Linked DNA regions of Schizosaccharomyces pombe. The gene in region 3 interacts genetically with the main gene of each other region. Each region holds a gene or a part of one and is shown on either strand. Other genes may lie near its edges. The genes, in order: med13, gmh6 and rxt2.

Evidence for each region.
Region 1: of rxt2 (region 3) and med13, changing one enhances a phenotype caused by changing the other (phenotypic enhancement), as found in Schizosaccharomyces pombe (2 studies listed by BioGRID, with this or other methods).
Region 2: of rxt2 (region 3) and gmh6, changing one enhances a phenotype caused by changing the other (phenotypic enhancement), as found in Schizosaccharomyces pombe (2 studies listed by BioGRID, with this or other methods).

What each region holds. Positions count from the first base shown.
Region 1 is NC_003424.3:3,097,015-3,100,773, reverse strand, and holds the start of med13 (mediator complex subunit Med13), read left to right. Parts: upstream 1-2,106; coding exon 2,107-2,148; intron 2,149-2,183; coding exon 2,184-3,759. Other genes in the region: mtx2 (metaxin 1), read right to left, coding at 1-27, 107-667; protein Noc12, read left to right, coding at 944-1,291, 1,355-1,513. UniProt on the Schizosaccharomyces pombe protein: Component of the srb8-11 complex. The srb8-11 complex is a regulatory module of the Mediator complex which is itself involved in regulation of basal and activated RNA polymerase II-dependent transcription.
Region 2 is NC_003423.3:4,408,107-4,411,865, reverse strand, and holds the start of gmh6 (alpha-1,2-galactosyltransferase), read left to right. Parts: upstream 1-2,159; 5' UTR 2,160-2,677; coding exon 2,678-3,759.
Region 3 is NC_003423.3:451,333-455,091, forward strand, and holds the start of rxt2 (Clr6 and Rpd3L histone deacetylase complex subunit Rxt2), read right to left. Parts: upstream 1,714-3,759; 5' UTR 1,708-1,713; coding exon 1,682-1,707; exon of another isoform or gene 1,633-1,681; coding exon 1,598-1,632; exon of another isoform or gene 1,548-1,597; coding exon 1,423-1,547; intron 1,374-1,422; coding exon 1,265-1,373; intron 1,085-1,264; coding exon 657-1,084; 3' UTR 1-656. Other genes in the region: pleckstrin homology domain protein Meu6, read left to right, coding at 2,898-3,265, 3,336-3,612, 3,670-3,759.

The DNA.
Region 1 (3,759 bases), on a different chromosome or scaffold from region 3:
AAACGCCTTCGAAGCATCCTCTAAAATCTAAGCTTTGTTAGTACAAATCATGCTTCAAAATGCTCGGTCTAGAAGACTAACTGCTATCAAAAATTATTAAACGTACCGCATCAAAATCAAGAGTTGATTCGTTCAACTGAAGACAAATTTTTCGTTTAATTTGAGAAGGTAACCCGATTGATTTAATAATATTTAAAGGCCAAGACATGTTAGGTAACCATTTTTTTTGAATTTCAGAAAAGTTCTCGTTGTCCAAATACATAGTTAAGAGAATTGCCGTTTCTACTTGATTTATCAGCAAACTCATCCAAGGAGAGATTTGCTGCAGTGTTGACTCATCCTTTAAAAAATATTGTAAAAGAGATGGATTGAGGACTAATTTTCGAGATTCAATTTGAATAAAAGGTACTTTCTCATCTGGAGAGGCGTGGTTAGACACATTTAAAAAAACAATTGAAGGGTCGTTTAATTTTGCCCAGGTTTGCCATTGAAGACTATTAACGTCCAGAGCCTCTGAGTTCAAGTCGGAATTCCACATAGTCAAATACATGACTGTTTTCGTTTTGTAATCTTCATTTTCGCCCGGGTAAGGATTAGAAAACGTTATTAAAGGGAAGCGGGAGAAAATGGAATGAAAATAACTCGAAAATTTTGTTAGACCGCCCATCCTTTTCACTTGTCACTAAGTTTGCTAATTCTAAAGAGTTTACACCAATACCATCAATAGTGTGCTTAGCGAAATTGTTAGATTAAGTGGTAAAGCGTGCAATTTCTTCAAATTTCTACCTATATTGTAGTAGGAGAAAATATTCTGTTGTTTCTACTATACCAAGCATTAATTCTGCATACACACTTTTCTATTTTGCGTTGGATTTTCACATCCTCTAATAATCGATAAACTCGACAAAAGATTGTATTTATTTTATTTGACATAAATCATAATATGGATTTGTCTTTATTTTCAGATATCAAGGATGTCGTCGAGAGGGACATGAAAAAAAATTCAAAAGTTGTGGAAAATTCTTCTGCTAGATCACTAAAAAACAAAACAGAGGAAAACAAAACTATTGATAAACATAAAAGTTCCGTTGGTCCTAAGGAACCCAAATCATCATTGGAAAAGCCTAAAGCGAATCGGAAAAGAAAGCAATCGTATGGTTTACTCCATGATATTAAAGAACTCGGAGGTACCGAAGAGGATCTGGAGCTGATTGAAGATGTAGAAAGCGATGAAGAGTTGGAATTCGAAGAACCCAATCGTAAACAACCCAAGAAGGATGGGACTGATGCTGTAAGTCAATATCGATGTTTCTTAATTACTTCTTTCAAAAGGTTCTAATATCCTCTGTTTTAGTTTGCAAATGAGTTGAATTTGTTCGCCAAAAAATTGGGCTTTTCTAAAAACAGCTTTGATGCTCGTGCTCTAGACACTGAGTCAGAAGATGAAACCGAAATCGAAAAAAGTTCGTCTGAAAATTCTGATTCAGTTGATGTCGATTCGGATGATGAGTAAAAAACGCTTGACAACTAGTTTATTTATTTAAAAATTTTCCTTCTTATTATAACTTTATAAGCAATGAGTGTATCTGTTAAAACTGATTGGGGAATCCCAATTTCTCTGTAATCTTCTCGTTCACTTTTCAGATGCCATCACTCATGAGTTGTTTAAACCATCATTCAAGAGGAGTCTTAAGGGAATGTAATGTTTAACTAACATTATACTGAGGGATAGGTTCATACATATTACCTGAAGGAGTTGCAATTGTGTTGGACCTTTATTGCTACACTTTCATTCATTTTAATTATTTGTAAAGTAAGGATAGGAATTTAAGGCGGAGCATTCTTTTTTTATTAAAATAGCGGTCATTACGGGATTAATATAAACATTATATGTCAGTATATATTTCCTTCATCAATTTCGAAGCATTTATGCTTATTTGCATACTAAACCGTTAGTTTAATGTTTGTTTATTTTATTATTAACAGTAAAAGTATCAGGTGTGTTTTAAGAAATATGTTAAAATGAGACAGTGGCCGCATGTGCTTTCTTTACGCGTGTACGCTAGCTACTTCCTCTTATATAATAATCTGCCATTATCCTCTGCCATGGTACATGATGGAGTTCATCTAATTAGTATTAAAACAATTGTAATTATTTCTATTATAACATGATAAATTAAAAGCTAACTGATCAGCCTTGCCCTAACACTATATATTATGCGAAGTATCAGGTTCAGCGAAAGGACAATGAGGATGCTGCTTCCCTCTTAGAAGACAAAGAAGCTTATCTACGAAATCAGGATTGCATTGTTCACGCGAAGAATGACTTACTTTTTGTATATGATTTTCAAGCCATTCCATCTATTCCTGAGGAATCATCTTCTTTTATGCTACTTAATTCAGGTGCATTTTCCAGATTAGCTCTTTTTCAAAAAGATGAATTAGCTCTTCTATTAGACCTGTATATAAACTTTCTTCAAGGATTGAAAAAAACGGTGTTGTATTGGCTGTGCAAAGAATACAACTTTGTTCCAATTTATGGTGTCCTTCTTCCTTTAAAATTACACCCTTCTTTCGATACCCAGCTCTGGAACATATATGGATATCCTGTTGTGGATTTACAGCTTTCTGTCTTATCGAAAGGCCATATAGAATTTTACTTAAAGCCTACAAGGCAGACGGTATATCGTTTGTCGGAAGTGGATAATTTGGTTAAAAAGTTAGACACTGTCATTCGTTTAGCCCCGACTGGTTGTTTGGCAACATTAACCTCTGTGCATGCCAACGCATCTGCTCAAACTGTTGATGCATTGAAACACCGCTATGGATTCTCTCTTACGACTACTTCAAAGTGGGTGGGTGTTACCTTAGAATCTTCGGCATTAGAATTTTCCTGGCCTTTAGAACTTTGCTTTTTGGAAACGTCGGCCCTTCGAATGAATGATGATTCATTATCTAGCAACCTTACAGATTTGAATAACCTAGTCCTCCCTTCAAACGTCGTAAACAATAAAAAGGAATTAACTGAGTTCGCAAATGAAGAAGCGGAAGCTTCAGATAAAAGAAAAGAAGGTTTTACAGAAAAGGAAGAGACTGCTGATGCCGTTGTAACCTTGGTTCCTTCTCATAGTTCTTCTCCCGTTAATTATTCGATAAATTCTGCAAAATCTACACCTGCTTCAATAAAAGTAAATGAAGAGATACTTGTTGCTGATCATAATGTTTCAGATGACATACTAATGGAGGAAATAGACGATGTTGGAATAACAGAGGCTGATTTTGATTACTTTGACTTACCTAACGTTGAAGAAAAAGTTGAGATGATTGAGCCTAATTTTGCAAATACTATGACAACCTTAGATAATGAGGAAATCAACACTTCCATCTCTCAATCAAACACCAGTCCAAATTTGAATACTCACGAAAATATTCCAAAGCAAATGGAAATTCAATCGGATGATAGAATGGTAACCGAAGATTTAAATCCATACAACGTCGAAGTTGATATTCCTGAAATTTCTTTAAATATTTCAGATTCTAAAATCCCTACATCTGCGTATATGCCTTCATACTATTCTGCGGTAATTTTTCCCTCGTCTATCTCCAGTATTTTTCAGAAGTATAACTATGGTGGTAAATATTGGTGCCCTTCTCCTTCTTTGTCAACTGAAGATTTATTTGAATCATTTTCGGTCGCTGAATCGGTAACTAGTACAGATGAAGACATCTGCTCTACAAACTTTATACAACAAGATTTTA
Region 2 (3,759 bases), 4.0 Mb from region 3:
TTGAACTCGCTCATCCAAAACTATTATGACTTTTAAAGCAATATTATCATATTTTTCGACCATATAGGTATTATGTGATTGGTTGATTGAAAGGCTGGTTGCTGATTGGTTTCGTTACACGAATATTATAATTTGACGTCACATTACGAGAGATATGAGAAGGAAAGAGAATAACATGTTCCACTAGGGAAACAGAATAGCTATGAGTACCAGTGTATAACGATATTTTGAATTTGTTGAATTCATCATCACCGTTTATTTTGGTATCAGTGATGGATGATAATTCATGGCATTTACTAATATGGGACGACATATCGTACATTTTTACACAAGTAACGGACATGAGCGCAAGACTGAACACAAGAATTAATGCTAACACCTCATAAGAAAAGTTAACAAGGTTGAGGATTGCTCTATTTCTCTTACTTTTTTTTAATCAAGTACTAACTCTATAGTGTACGTGTCAGTGGCTATTAACTCCCAATTCATTTAGATGTCATCCGGAATTAAAAAACGGATAACAAATTTCGGATAATGACTAAATATTGTTCCAATGTGGCACCTCAACTTTTGTACCATCGCTCTCATCCCTTTGCTATATTTCCGATATCCGGTTGTTTTACAAAAATTAAACAAGGGATTACTCGTCAACAACATACTCAACATCAGGTTATGATGAAGTTGTCGTTTGCTTAGCGAATTTTTGCTTGAGGTATACAATTTACTCAGTCCCTTCATTGGCTTTATCAACATGCCATAAATTAGTTTAAAAAATAATTTATCGTCATTACAATATCGGTATATTAGAATATAATTATATACTTTTACTATGAAATAATATTCTGTCTTATTCTCTTAAACAAAATTGCTTTGAAAATAAAAAAAATGATTGGCTGTTTAAAAATACTTCAACCGTAATATTGTATTATTGTAAACGAATATGTAGTGGTATAGCAATCGAATCTGGGGCCTTTCTATTGGTTAAGTAATTGAATAATTTTAACGGCCGATCCGTGAATCTTTATACCATAACAATTTTTTAGCTAAAGACACGGAATCGAAACATCGCTAGGTGATGAGTTAGTAAAGAATAAATATGGCTGCAATATTAAGCATGGAGAAGGACAACAACTCCATATTTCTTTGATTTGCTAGTTAAAATCTAAATTGCTATTGGTAAAGTACACAAAAATACAGTTATTGCTGGGCAAATTTTAACGTTATCATGAAATAAAAAATCAGTTCTAGAAAATAGTTACGACTTTCTTCGAAGCTGCAAACTTAAATTCCAAGAATACTTTGAATAGTCTCTGTAAGGTCTGAAGCGAATTCCAAAATGCTATCATTTGCTTTTCTGAGTACAATTATCGCATATATATTAAAAATTTAAGGTGTAGTGCATCCAAAAAAAAAAGAACGATTCCAACAGATATATTAAAGAATCTTAATTTATTGATACTTACATTCCGATTGTGCAAACTAAAGGTTAGACTAATATTCTTCTCAAAAAATTATACAACAATAAAAAGTGAAACCGATAAATTGAAAGCGACGCTTTGCATTTTAATTTAAAAATCCAAGCACTTCAGAAAAATGTTTGCCAATGCAGCAGAAGAAAAAGCATCAAAATTGAAGTATAACGAGGTTTTACAACGTTTAGAATCTCGTTAATCACAAACGTTTGATATATCGAGAATTCTTCTTGCTTCATTACGATATTTATTAAGTTAGCGATGCATTTTGGTATCTGTTTTAACGATAGTACTGCAGTGAGTTTTCCTTGTGATCTATTATATTGCAATAAGAAGATAATATAAGTACCATAAGTATAGGTATTCTGTTAAGTAGGTTATATAGTTACCTGTCACTAATACTGCTTATAACTAAATCTCGCTCCTCAGTTCATGTAGCTCTATTTAATAATCTTTCTAAAATATTTTAACAATGGGAATCCATGTGTATAAAGATAGTTATATATAATTATTGATAAACATATCTTAACTGATAATCCAACATATGGCATATAGTGATACTGTAACGTAGCGCATATTACGTAGTGTAGTTATGCTAATATATTATAAGGAATAGTGAGTCATAGCGTATATACTTATTTGAAATGTACTAAATTTCAACGCGTACATGCTTTCCTTCCCTTCATTATAACTACATCAAAAGTTTTAGTAGCTTTCCTCTAAAGCACTTAACTGAATGGTAACACGAGAATCGGTCGAAAGTTTATTTTATTTTTTATAGGTCACTCTCTATAAAACCTTGTATCTCCACTTTACCGCTACGTTCATTATATTTGACATACACTCTTTCAGGACACTTGGTGATTATTGCTTTGGGTAAATAGGGTATATTTTTTGGTGTTAGTAAACGATAAGATTAAAAAGGTACTTTAAATTGTCTCGCCTGCTATTGTGAGCATGTGTGTGCTGTGAAGTGCCTACGAACATCTACCTCTCACATTCTGAACTTATCTAACATCTTAGTTTAGGCTAAGTATTTTATAAGAAATCTTAGCTTTTATTGCATCAATTTTTAAAGAAGGATATTTACACCGCTCTTTCTTTTCTTCGCTATCATTTTTATTATCATTGGTATTTTTTCATTACTTTGAACATATTTATTTATCCAAGGATTGGTCAATTCTAATTTCTCTTACATACTTACAATGCGTTGGTATTCTTATGTTATACCAGCAGTGATCCTCAGCATAATTGCTATTTCTGGAGTATGGTGGAATGCTACCCTTGGTACTAGGCTCGACCAGAAAGTACAACTTTTCTTAAATGAACATTCTTCAATTTTGAATGCAGTTTACGAAACAACTACTATCGTTTACACAGAGCCATTACACACCAGTGTCAGCGAAACGATTACATCTACGTCTTTTGTTACAGAAACTACGACAGTAACCCCAACGGTTACTGCCACAGCTCAAGAGTTAAGCACACTTAATCCTCATCCTGAAAATTCTAAGATAGTCCTTTTGATGGGTTCCAATGCCCAAAATGACCCTTCCTCACCCTTAAATCCTTATATTAGAACGATTATTAAAAATCGCCGCGACTATGCAGAACGTCATGGTTTTAAGTTTGAATTTTTAGATTTAGATGAGTACAAACCTTCAATTGGCGACAAGCCTGCCCCTTGGGCTAAAATTCCCATGATTAAAAATGTGATTAGAAAATATCCAGATGCTGAATGGGTATGGTGGTTGGATCACGATGCTTTAATTATGAATCGTGATTTGAATCTGGTTGATCACATTTTGAAGCATGAAAAGCTAAATTCTCTTTTATTGCGCGACACCGAATATTTTAGTGGATTTGGCATTGACTCTGAAGGATTCCGAACACCTAAAAATCAAGACCCTGATGATATACATTTTATCATTGCTCAAGATTTTAATGGCATTAATGCTGGCAGTTTTTTAATAAGGAATTCTGAAGTAGGAACATGGATGCTGGATTTTTGGAATGAACCACTTTATAAAGAACATAATGGTGTATTTGTCGAACAACAAGCCCTTTCTCATATGATATATAGTCATCCCATTGTGCATAAACATGTTGGGCTAGTTACTCTTCGTTCAATAAACGCATATGATTCTTCTGATCCTGCTTGGGGATATGAAGACGGTGATTTATGTGTTCATTTTGCTGGGTGCTTTGTCTTTCAGACATGTGCACAAAATTTTGAAAAGTATGGCAAGATTATCACAGAAAAGCAAGGCCATGATTGGTTCGATCC
Region 3 (3,759 bases):
GACAGTCAAACAATAGTTCTGATGGTTTCAGGTTTTTAAAGATTGATGTTTACTTGAATATGTTTTGCGATAAATCCTTGTAATCTTGTTGTTTCAAGCACTTACATTGTTCTAACAAAAAGAAGGTTGGGCAATTTCACAACAAATAACAATTTTAATACTTTGGGGAAATGAAAAAGCAAAATAAAGGATAAGTAATGTATTAACATACAAATGGCAAGCACATGTTAGTCGGTTGATTGAACGAAAAAATATACAACAGTGATAAATGAAATTATGTAACAGCAAACGTAAACGTACTTCCCTTGGAAAGAATAAGTAGAAAAAAGTGTGGATAGAAATTAGGATAGCCAAAGGGAATATGTAAGTAGCAGTATCTCAAATTATAAGACAAAGTTTCTAATAGCTGGGGATGCCAAGCTTGAGAAAAAACCCAACGTTATGAAAAAGTAAAAGAAATAATTAAGTTTCATTGCAGAAGAAATCACCAAAGACGTTTTAAAAAAGGATAATTCTATTTTTATAATGTCGTAAAAAGGAATTGTAAATCGAATGGAATAAAGAATAATATTCTCAACGTTTTATTTTGCTGACTTATACGCTTCATCAGCTTCAAAATAATGAAATTGAAAAGATTGATGAGAAATCAATAAATTTTAGGAATTTGGTTTTCCATCACTCTCATTTTTAGACAAAACTTGGGTATTACCATTATAGTCTTCACCTTGGCAGTAAGCAATGACTTTGTTTTTAAAACGAATGGCCCGAAGAAGGTCCATGCGAACGTTTGTCCAGCATCTAATAAACTCCTTGCTTTTTTCCAAAGCTTCTTGAACTGTGATCGTCAATTCTCTACACTGTTCAGGAGAAATCCCAAACACTTCATGAGGTGGTCCTGGTAGTGATGGGTCATCACCTAAAAGTGCAACCATCAATTGTTCGAGATGAGCAGTATATTTGTGTTCAGCAGATATAATTTCAAGAGCAGAAGAAGCAAGGATTGATAAATAATTTTGTTCAAATATGGAAGATATAGCAGGATGTGTGAGCAAGTCTTGTGGTTTTGTCAGCGGTGACATGATCTCTATAATTTTTACTGAGTTAGCAAGCGATCGATGTATATGACCATGATTGGCGAGTGCTGATAACTAATATTTCAATTCAATTCATAATCAATCTTTGAAAACACAACACGAAATCTCCAAAAGCACAATGAATCAAAAAAATTGTATGTCTAACATAACTAAGTGTGTGTACGACTTACCAGCTATGTTTATATCGTTATATGGGTTATCATGGTCCAACCATTCCGGATCTATTCTCCTTCGAAAATGAGAGACAACTCCTCTTTTAGTATTACCAATGTTATAGTACTATAAAGTAGTGGTTAGCAGTTTACGATTCCCAATTACTCACACATACATCAATGTCTATAGAGGAGCCACTAGAGTTACCGACGCAACCATAATATACATTTTTCGATCCTTTCTTTCTTTTTAATCCACGATTTGTAAGTGCCTCTCCAATGGAAGAGTCGGAATCCGAGGCTATACGAGATGTTAGTGAAAATTATAAATCTCATTTTGACAATAATTACCATCAGAATCTTCAAATAACGCCTGCTTAAACCTTCTAAATTTGTTAGAAAAATACATAATACGTGACATTCATAAAAACCTACTCAATTTGTTCTTCAAATTGCTTCATGGTTTTTGGCACGTCAGATATTCATACTTACTCAATCCAGTACAAATTAGCGATTTCTATCGCATTATAGCGTTTACATAAAATGCGAAAATAACCTGGCGTAAGTTGGGTTACTTATTCAATTTATAAATAAATAGTATTGAAACAAAAATATACATTGTTTTAATCGTTAGAGGTAAGCTGCTAGTATTCTTGAATAATAAGAAAAATCCCTTTCCGCAGGTAGGGCCTGGTTTATTTTGCTTTCTCGATATTCCTTTTCCAATTTTTACATGGATGGAAAGACCAGCTTTTTAACTTAAAAAAATATTTAAAAAAAATAATTAATCCATAGAGAATAATGTATTATTATGGAACTTTTATATTCTCACACTTTTTCTCCTACAAACTTATGTCGTTATAATGAAACAAATTGCTATAGTTTTCTTGGAAGAAGTGTAAATATTAAAAGGAAATTTCCAATTCAAAGATGTGGAAAGCATTAAAAAACATCCTTCCATTCTATTGAAAATTTTAAACAATTTGAAAATACCTCGAGTTTGGATTTGCTTTTTTGAAACTAGCGTTCGTCAAAAATAATAAGTAAATAAATAAAAATTTAAAATCTCGTAAAATTCTTACCAATTAAAACCTACTTAGTTTTTAAGCAAAACAAATGAGCAGAATAGTTAAACAACATTTAATTTTTATAAAAAAAGGAACTAATGGTGACAATCATGTATAAAGTCAATGAAAAATATGGCTCATCTGTTGTTGTTAAACAGATTTCAACTCAAATGAAAATTTTAGGATGGTAGTCGCAATTAGAAATTAAAGACAAACACTTAATTGTAAAATCTCTCAATACTATATAGTTCATTCAATCGCAGACAGCTCGATTCCAGAAGAATGTATATGTTTTGATACGAATGAGCGAATACAAGATTTAATGGCCGTTGAAGATTTTATTAATAAGAATGAATTAGTAGAAATTTTTTAACATTTAAAAAGTAAATTCTATGTATTTTCCCTTTTCTATTGATGTCCATCGTTTGTTTGTATATTAGGTAGTCGATTTGTTTGTTTACATTCTCGCCAACAATTGGTATTCAAATAACCAGCTTGGCGCAGACTTTTCCTCTACCACAAATATTTACAGCATAAAAAAAATCCAAAATTGAGAGCCTAACTGTTGTTTTCGACTTCTTATCATGTCTTATGAGGGCCGTGAAGAACGACCTGAGCAGATTGCTGAACCTACTTTCGAAAATGTGTCGGAACACAATGAACATGATTCGGGATCTGCTGAGGCCCAGGTGGAGACACTGGAGGTGCCATTGAGCAACGAAACCGACAATGATGATGCCACTGAAAACGCTGTTCCTGCAGAAGTACAAGCACCTGAGGAACCCAAGGAGCCTGAAACAGTCGACAATATCGATCCTGCAGATGATGATCCAAACAGCGTGGCAGCTCCCAAGGTTGAAGAAAAAAAATCCAAGAAGAAAGCCAAGGATGAAAAACCATTGACCTACACCACTGGTGGGTATTTATACTGTCGATCCAACGGACTTATTCCGTAAGTCAAAACAGCATCCATTTATTAAAAATCAAACAATCGATTGAGTAATCTTACTAACCACATGTAGTCATGTCATGAAAAGGTATTTTTATATGCTAGAAGGCCCTATGTCTATGGATTTATTAGACCATTATTATAAAAAACACTTCCATGGTACTTTGCAAGGTAACCCAACGGAACCTTCCTTAGCTTCTGAGCAAATGCACGACTCTGATGCTGATTCCCTCTTCCAGTCTGCTAATGATCACCTTAACCGTATCGCTAAAGCTACTCAAGACTGCCGTGGTTTACTCTTTTACTCCAAATCTCAATCAACTAGTGTCCCAAGCGGAATCATTAATTTGGTAAGAATTCCTAATTCCCCTGATTTTTAGTTTTAACCGTGCTAACTGTATTTTCAGACTGATGCAGTATCCATAGAACCCGGTACTGGAAACAAATTCACCATCAATTTTAACAATGGTAAATCAGAAACACTTGAAGCCCTAGAC